Linked DNA regions of Sus scrofa. The protein of the gene in region 2 purifies or fractionates together with the protein of the main gene of each other region. This does not show direct contact. Links are inferred from orthologs where the notes say so. Each region holds a gene or a part of one and is shown on either strand. Other genes may lie near its edges. The genes, in order: ARHGEF2 and ANKRD28.

Region 1 (3,815 bases), on a different chromosome or scaffold from region 2:
ATTTAATGGCACAGAAAGCTTTTGGTTATTTTGGATTTCCTGAACCAACTTTAAGAACTTGGAGGTCTTCGAAATTGTTTTAGTTTGAAAATCTATTTCTGGAGTTCCTGTCGTGGCTTAGCAGAAACAAATCTGCCTAGCATCCTTGAGGACACAGGTTCAATCTCTGGTCTTGCTCAGTGGGTTAAGGATCCTGCATTGCCATGACCTGTGATGTAGGTCACAGACAGGCTTGGATCCGGTGTTGCTGTGGCCATGGTATAGGCTGGCAGCTGCAGCTCACATTCAACCTCTAGCCTGGGAACCTCCATATACTGTGGGTGTGGTTCTAAAAAGACCAAAAAAAAAAAAAAATCTATTTCTACTTGCAGAGGCTGGAATCATGGACTTGCTGGAACAGAGCCCCTACATTTTTTGTTTCCTAGAGTTCCCCTGCCCATTTACCAGCAGACAAAACAGGAAGTGCCCTGTGCCCCTCCAGGAGTTGCTGTAGACCTTGGTGTTTGGTTAGGGACCATCCTAAATGTTTCTGTGCTCTACGATGCAGGCTCCGTTTGGAGACCATGGCTCAAGGGTCTGTACCCAGGTCGCACCTCCTTCTATTCCATGTGGCCACCAGGGTCTCACCTCGTGGACTATGTGGCGGAGACAGACGGCTGCTGCTACCTTCCTCCTCGCTGCCGGTGTCAGGGTCACTGCTATCTTGCAGCCGCTCATCAGGGCTGCCCAGCTCCTGCCTCTCTCGATCCTCGAAGGGTCGATGGACTGAGCGAATAGTCACAGGCAAATCCAGGCGGTCGTGGCCTCGGCTGGGCTGTGGACGGCAGGTAGGAAAAGCAGGAGGCCAGGGAATGAGCAGTTCGAAGACTCTCTTGGTACATCTACTACTGACTGATTTCTTTCTGTCCCTGTCTAAATAGTTCAGTCTTCCCATCAGTACTCTAATATCCATCAAGCCTGATGCCTGAGTTCACTTGGGCTCAAGTCTCCAATTCCTTTCAGGTTCTCTCGTGGAGCCTGAAGTCCACCCCAAGTCAGGTCACTATTCCAAGCTTCCTTACCTGTGGGGGAGTGAAACTCAAGTACAGGGCATCGCCTGCAGGGAGGCTACGACGCCTCGGATCCAGAGGCCTGCGGGCCCAGGGGGCCTCAGCCGGGAGTGGTTCCGTGTGGCCCAAGGCGGCCAACTGCCTGCGAGCCTCTTCGACCTCCCGCTCCAGCAGAGCTCGGGCCTGCTCGCTTTCCCGGAGCCGGGCTTCCAGGCTGCCAGCCTCCGTCGCCCGCTCTTCACCAAGCCGCCGGCAGCGCCGAAGCTCCTCTTGCAACAGTGCGTGTTGCCGTTGCAGTAATGCCAGTTCTGTAGCCTGCTTTTCAGGAGCCACAGGGGCAGCCCCGGCTCTGCCAGCCTCCCCATCCCGGGAGTTGGCTCTGGTCAGCTTCTCCCGCCGCTCAGGACCCTCAGGGAACCGAGCTTCCATCAAAGTGTCCTGCTGGGCCACAGCCGCCTGGGGGTGGAATGGGGATGGATGGTGTATCAGAATTCCCCGTTTCTTCTATCCCCTGCCCTCCCTCCTCAGGGCCCAGGTCAGGATTCCTGTAGGCCTCGAATCAGGGGAAGGCTTACAAAGGTCTGTTAGGGTGATCGTGCCCCACTTAGATGGGCAGCCCTGGTCAGGCACCTCTCCTTCCCGTTCTAGCCCTCACCCCACTGACCTGTAGGCCATGAAGAAGTCCATAGAGATTGACCAATCGCTGCAACGCTTCCTGAGGACAGAAGAGAGGGTGGGAACAGAGTCCAAGCTTCAGGATGGAACAACTGCCCGGAAGTCAATTAAGTGTGGGGGTGGGGAAAATAAGACTGCAGGTACTTGGAGGTGTACGCTCTCCCCCATGCACTCCAAACCGGGCTCCAGTTTCTCAGATGAGAATACCCCTCCCTTCAGTCTCCTATACCGTCACATCCCCGTCTCACCTCCTGGGGAGATCTCAGCTGGTTTCCATTTCGATCCTGCAGAAACAGGCAAGGATGGGGAATCAGCAGACACAACTTCCCGGGGCCTGTCCCTGAGAGCTCTGTGTCAGGATCTATAGGCCAGCTGTTCCTTTCCCGCCCCCTAGCCAAGTCCTGACACCTCCTGAGACCCACCTTCTGGCTGGAGTCTGAGTCAGCTCTGCAGAGCTCTATCGAGCCATTGAAGGTTCTGGCCTCGCCATCTGTCGAGAAGGGGAAAAGATGGGCCCAGCTCACTTTCCTAGGGCCCTGGCACTGCTCGGTCCTTGGTACCACTCCCTTCTCTTTAACCCTGCCCACCTGCTACCTTGGTCCCCTGCCCTGGTACTCACTGGCAGTGACCCCAGGACTCGTGTTACCACCACTGTCCGTTTCCACGGGTAGGGCTGGTTCCCGGGAAGTCAAGAGCAGCTCCACTCCAGGCCCCACCAGCAGGTCTTTCAGGCCCTCCACTGAGGGGAAAGAGGGAGCGGTGAGAAAGGAGAAGCAGAGAATCCAGTGAGCGGCGGGACGGCATTCACCCAGGATACCAGAATGCAGACATCTAGGGGACTGCCCCCTGCACAGGCAGTGGGGTCTCACTGCCATGGCCACGTACGAGGCAAAAGTCATTAAAGATGCTCAAGGAGTAGCACAGGAGGCATGCAGGATGAGAGGTGTCAACAGCAGCAAGGACCGTGCCTCTTCCCCGCCATCCCCAGCCCCTGGCACAGAGCAGGTGCTCAGGGGAGTTGTAGACTATGGGGCTGGCCTCCCCCTTGCCCATGTGTGTCCAGGTCTAGCCATGTGTCCGTATGCCATGACAGTGAGGGGACGAGTCTGGGCTCTTCCCTGGGCGCTCCCTCACCCTCACGGATGGCATCCTGCAGCAGCCGCTCGCCACGAGGTGACTCAAGGGACTCAGAGCGGAAAAGGCCCCTGGGCAGAGTGGGCAGGGGCATCCCACCACCGCCATCCTCTTCCACCTGGAAATGGGTCATCTCGGCAAACAGCCCAACTTTCTCCTGCAGCAGCTCCACCAGTGCCCGGTCTTTCTGCTGCAGCTCCACTGTGGATGAGAAACAGGTGAGCACACAGATGGGCCTGGGGGCACCCAGGAGAGCCAGTAGTCAGGAGGCAGCCCTAGGGGTTAGGAGCCAGGCCTGGGCACAGTGGCAGCACTTAATTTTGGCTTTTTGGCATTTACAAAAAAGAAAAGAACATTTTGGGGGGAAAAGTAAAAGTAACCATATACTTTTGGGGTTCGTTTGCTTGTTTTCTTTTTTTGGCCACTCTAGAGCATATGGAATACCTGGGCCAGGGATCAGATCTCAACCATAGCTGTGATCTATGCCACAGCGGCAGTATGCTGGATCCTTTCACCCACTGTGCCAGCCCAGGATTGAACCTGCGTCTTGGCACTGCAGACACACCACTGATCCAGTTGTGCTACAGTGGGAACGCCTGCACTTTTGTTTTAAAAACAAAAGTAAGGAGTTTCCGTCATGGCTCAGTGGTTAATGAATCCGACTAGGAACCATGAGGTCGCGGGTTCAATCCCTGGCCTTGCTCAGTGGGTTAAGGATCCGGCATTGCCGTGAGCTGTGGTGCAGCTCACGGACACGGCTCAGATCCCACATTGCTGTGGCTCTGTTGTAGGCCGGCAGCTAAAGCTCTGATTAGACCCCTAGCCTGGGAACCTCCATGTGTCAAGGGAGCAGCCCTAGAAAAGGCAAAAAGACAATAAATAAATAAATAAATAAAAACAAAAGTAAAACTATCGTGGCAGGGACTGCAGGCTGTCCGCTAGTTTTCATTCTCTCCA
Region 2 (3,815 bases):
AGAACCTGAGCACAGTGCTGGGCACACCACCAACACAGAGTCCCTGAGCCCCCTTGGCCAGGCACTTCTCTAACCACTTAGAACTTTGAGTTCAGCTGACAAAGGCTCCTGCCCTGGTGGATCTTATATTTATTCTAGTGGAGGAGACACCCAAGATAATTAAAAAAGCAAATTATAAACAATGTTAGAAGATAAGCTCTATGGAAAAAGAGAACGAGGAAGGAGCAGAGCAGGTTAACTGAGAAAGAGGATACAGTGGGGTGTGCAGCGGCTGTAGTACAAAAAGGGTAGTCAGGATGGCCTTCATTGAGAAGACGAAACTTCAAACAGGTGAAGGATTTAGTAAGACTGTTGGGGGCAGAGTGTTCTGAGTAGAGGAAACAGCCAGAACAAAGAGGATCACGCATGCATGTCCCGGTGTGAGGAGCCGGCGTGGTAGAGGGAGATGGGGCAGGAGAGGATGAGATGAGGTGAGAAGGGTAACGGGCCACAGACTGATCCAATAGGGCGCAGGAGGTCATTTAAGGATTATCAGTGAACTGAGACTCCGAGTAGTATCTCCTCATGTTTTTTAAAAGGATCCCAGCCAGGGTGGTAGGAAGAGAGGAAAAAGAAGGGGCCTATTTTGAATATACTCTGGAGGTGGCTCAACAGCAATATGCTGGCAGATTGTACCCTGGTGTGACAGAGGGTCGAGGATGACTCAAGGTTTTTGTCCTGAGCAACTGTAAGGATAGGACTTGTCTTCAGCTGAGCTTAGGACAGCTGTGGGGAGAACCCACTCCACAGAGGGGGGAGAAAGGATGAGCTGCTCAGTTCTAGACACGTGTCTTAGACATTCACATAGTACGTTATAATCAAACCACATATACTTCTTGACTCTCCTCAAATGATGTGCACCTACTGATCCAAGGAACAGTGTGTAGCACAGTGATTTGGGGGAATATTGGACACTAGCTATGGTAGACTACAACTTGCACAGTCTTTATTCATGTACATTTTCGATTCCACTTTAAAAGCCTATTCCTATTTTTAAAGAAGGAACAACTAGTTGTGTCAAATTCTGACATGTCAAGTAAAAGGGAAACTAAGAATTGAAACCTAACACTGCATTAGTCACTGGTGATATTGATGAGAATGGTTCCGTGGTACCGTGGGGGTGAGGTCTGGCCAGAGGGGATTTGGCAGAGAAGGAAAAGAAGAATTGCGGACAGTGGGAGAGCCAACCCTTGAGTAACTGTGATAGTAAGTGTAACAGAGAAGCACGGGAAGAGCTGGCAGAAGGAGTGGGATTAATAAAATATTTAAGATGAGAGAAATAATGTTTTTATCCTGATGGGATGAATCTGGAAAGATTCCTACAAAAAAAAATCATTACCACAGGACACAAAATCAAAGAACTTCTAAAGTGGTAGTCTCGAGTAGGCAAAAGAGATCTAGTGCATAAATAGGAAGATTAGTTTTAGATAAAATCTGCAATTAAGTAAGGGCCTTGAAAAATATTTGTTGACAGAAGAAATCTGTTGAATACTAAGATAATCAACAGTGATATAACTAACATGAAAGTTGACACACTCTGATTTAATAAATATGTGAAACTCAGAGGTTCATCTTTTGAATGGACTTTTCCTGTTCTTTGTCCTTATGCCTTTTGCACAAAGTCAGTCCTATTTAATATTAACTTCAGCTCTCCTCGTTGACCAATAAAAGCTAGCCACATCTGTTTTACTTCAAATATGGATCACTCAAAGATAAAAGCTTCTCACAGGTTAAGGAAAGTGAATTAGAAACTACTTACCATTTTCATCTACTGCAAGCACACTTGCTCCTTTTCCCAAAAGTTCTTGAACCACCATTGTTAGCCCGTTCCGGGCAGCAACATGCAGAGGTCTGGGGGGGGAAAATACGTGTATATATACATACTTGTATGGCTACACGTGTGCACGATTACTTCTCTCTCCCTCTCCCAAGCCTGGCAGTTGAAGAGCATTTTTTTTTGCTGGGTTGTGAAGACTCAAAGATGCAAAGTGGAGACACCTGGTCCTGGCAGCAACAAAAATGGGAGTGGGGAGGGCAGATCCAGCGTACAAGTGCCTCATCAATGTGCCCTGCCTGCAGCACTGGACCCGTCAATGAGTCCCACCTTCACCAAACCCTTTGTAAGTTTCCTTTAAGACTCAATGTTTGAAATGATTCTACTAACTAAACTGCACTCTAAGTTGTTTTAAGAAACGTGGCTAGCAAACACGTATAATAACAGTTCCTGCTGTGGTGCAGTGGGTTAAGAATCTAGCGTCGCCAGTTGTGGTATAGATCACAGATACTGCTGGGATCCGATCCCTAGCCTGGGAATTTCCACATGCCGAGAGTATGGCCAAAAAGCACAAAAAACAAACCCCCAAACAACCGCCCTCAAGGCCCCCATAACAAAAACAAAAATAAATAGAATATATAATAAAAACTGTAAATCGCAATAGCACAAATTCCAACAGGCTTTGAAAACAGTTCATAGTTCATGACTCATTTTTGGACGCTTAAGGGATCTGACTGGTACCTGAATAGGAAACAGTTTTATAAGATTTTTCTCTTTACTAAGTCTCAAAGCAGAAGAGCAAATGGAAATTGGGAGAGGAATATGGAGAAGGTGACCCAAGATTTAAGCAGTCACCTAGAGGCTGGCTTCTCACATAAAGAACTTGATTATTTCTGAAATCTCTCTGCTTAGAGACACAAATAAAGCTTTAAACCTCATTAATTGCTAATGTTAAATAAGGTACTATTTCAGTTGACTGCCATAAAACACACAGAGTCGTATTATTTTCCTCCATAAAACTGGATTGAGAAATAACTCATTATTTTCAATAATAAAGTTTCAGTTCAAAAGCTTTTCTATTAATATGCCTATTAGTTGTGATGCTTTTAAGAAATAAGCTTTATCAATTATAAAAACTGCCTTTATTTTTTAATTGACAGCCTCATTCCAATGGTCCCATGTTAGAAAAAAAACCCATTTATCATCTAATTAGGGGTCACATGGTTTACACTAGACACTAAAAGTACTCACGTTTGCAAAGCTGCATTGGTTGCATTGATGAGGTTTCTATCTGTTATCTTTTCCAGTATTAACAAGGCACTAGTTTCATGACCCTAAAATGATGGCAAATAACTCTTAAAATGTGGGCACCATTAAAGATATAAAAGATATTTATACACTAAAAACAATTCAACCCTAGTCCATAAAGCATGTACATCACCATACACAGGCCATGCATTTTCTTAGCTAATGCCTTAAATATCTGTCCAAACATGCACTGGTGTAATGGGCTTAGTTAAGAGTACAAGAATATTTAAGAATAGAGAAAGACAATAATTACATTTAGGCCTGTGCTCCAAAATTTACTTGGCTGCTGCCTGGAAACTTTCACATTGCATGGTGCTTAATAAGTCAGCATTCCCCAGCTCCCCCAAGAAATCTGATGCCAGTGATTATAAGAGAGGACTGGTTCCTAGCTCTGTTCATTTTAGTTAAGTGGAAAAAATTTAAATGCCACTGTTGATATTAACAATGAAAACATACCCTTAAGATGTGTACATACCTTGCTGCAAGCCAAATGGAGGGCGGTGTTTTTACTGTTATCTTGTAAAGTCAGATCTGCACTAGCACTGCTAACCAGCATCTCTGGGAGGAAAAATTCTATCAACTCTTTTGTTTATGAACATATAGCTCAGATTACTAATAACTCACTGTAGAGAAATGAAGACAGAAAGGAAAAATATCCCTCTAGCAAAAACTTAAGCACACACACAAAAAACCC

What was found.
Region 1: the proteins of ANKRD28 (region 2) and ARHGEF2 purify together in Homo sapiens (affinity purification with mass spectrometry; 3 studies listed by BioGRID and IntAct, with this or other methods). This does not show direct contact. The link is inferred for Sus scrofa from reciprocal best matches to the Homo sapiens genes ANKRD28 and ARHGEF2.

What each region holds. Positions count from the first base shown.
Region 1 is NC_010446.5:94,074,843-94,078,657, reverse strand, and holds part of ARHGEF2 (rho guanine nucleotide exchange factor 2), read right to left. Parts: intron 3,060-3,815; coding exon 2,859-3,059; intron 2,464-2,858; coding exon 2,344-2,463; intron 2,215-2,343; coding exon 2,147-2,214; intron 2,009-2,146; coding exon 1,973-2,008; intron 1,765-1,972; coding exon 1,714-1,764; intron 1,506-1,713; coding exon 1,062-1,505; intron 815-1,061; coding exon 628-814; intron 1-627. UniProt on the Homo sapiens protein: Activates Rho-GTPases by promoting the exchange of GDP for GTP.
Region 2 is NC_010455.5:2,928,374-2,932,188, forward strand, and holds part of ANKRD28 (serine/threonine-protein phosphatase 6 regulatory ankyrin repeat subunit A), read right to left. Parts: intron 3,680-3,815; coding exon 3,597-3,679; intron 3,148-3,596; coding exon 3,065-3,147; intron 1,891-3,064; coding exon 1,799-1,890; intron 1-1,798. UniProt on the Homo sapiens protein: Regulatory subunit of protein phosphatase 6 (PP6) that may be involved in the recognition of phosphoprotein substrates. Involved in the PP6-mediated dephosphorylation of NFKBIE opposing its degradation in response to TNF-alpha.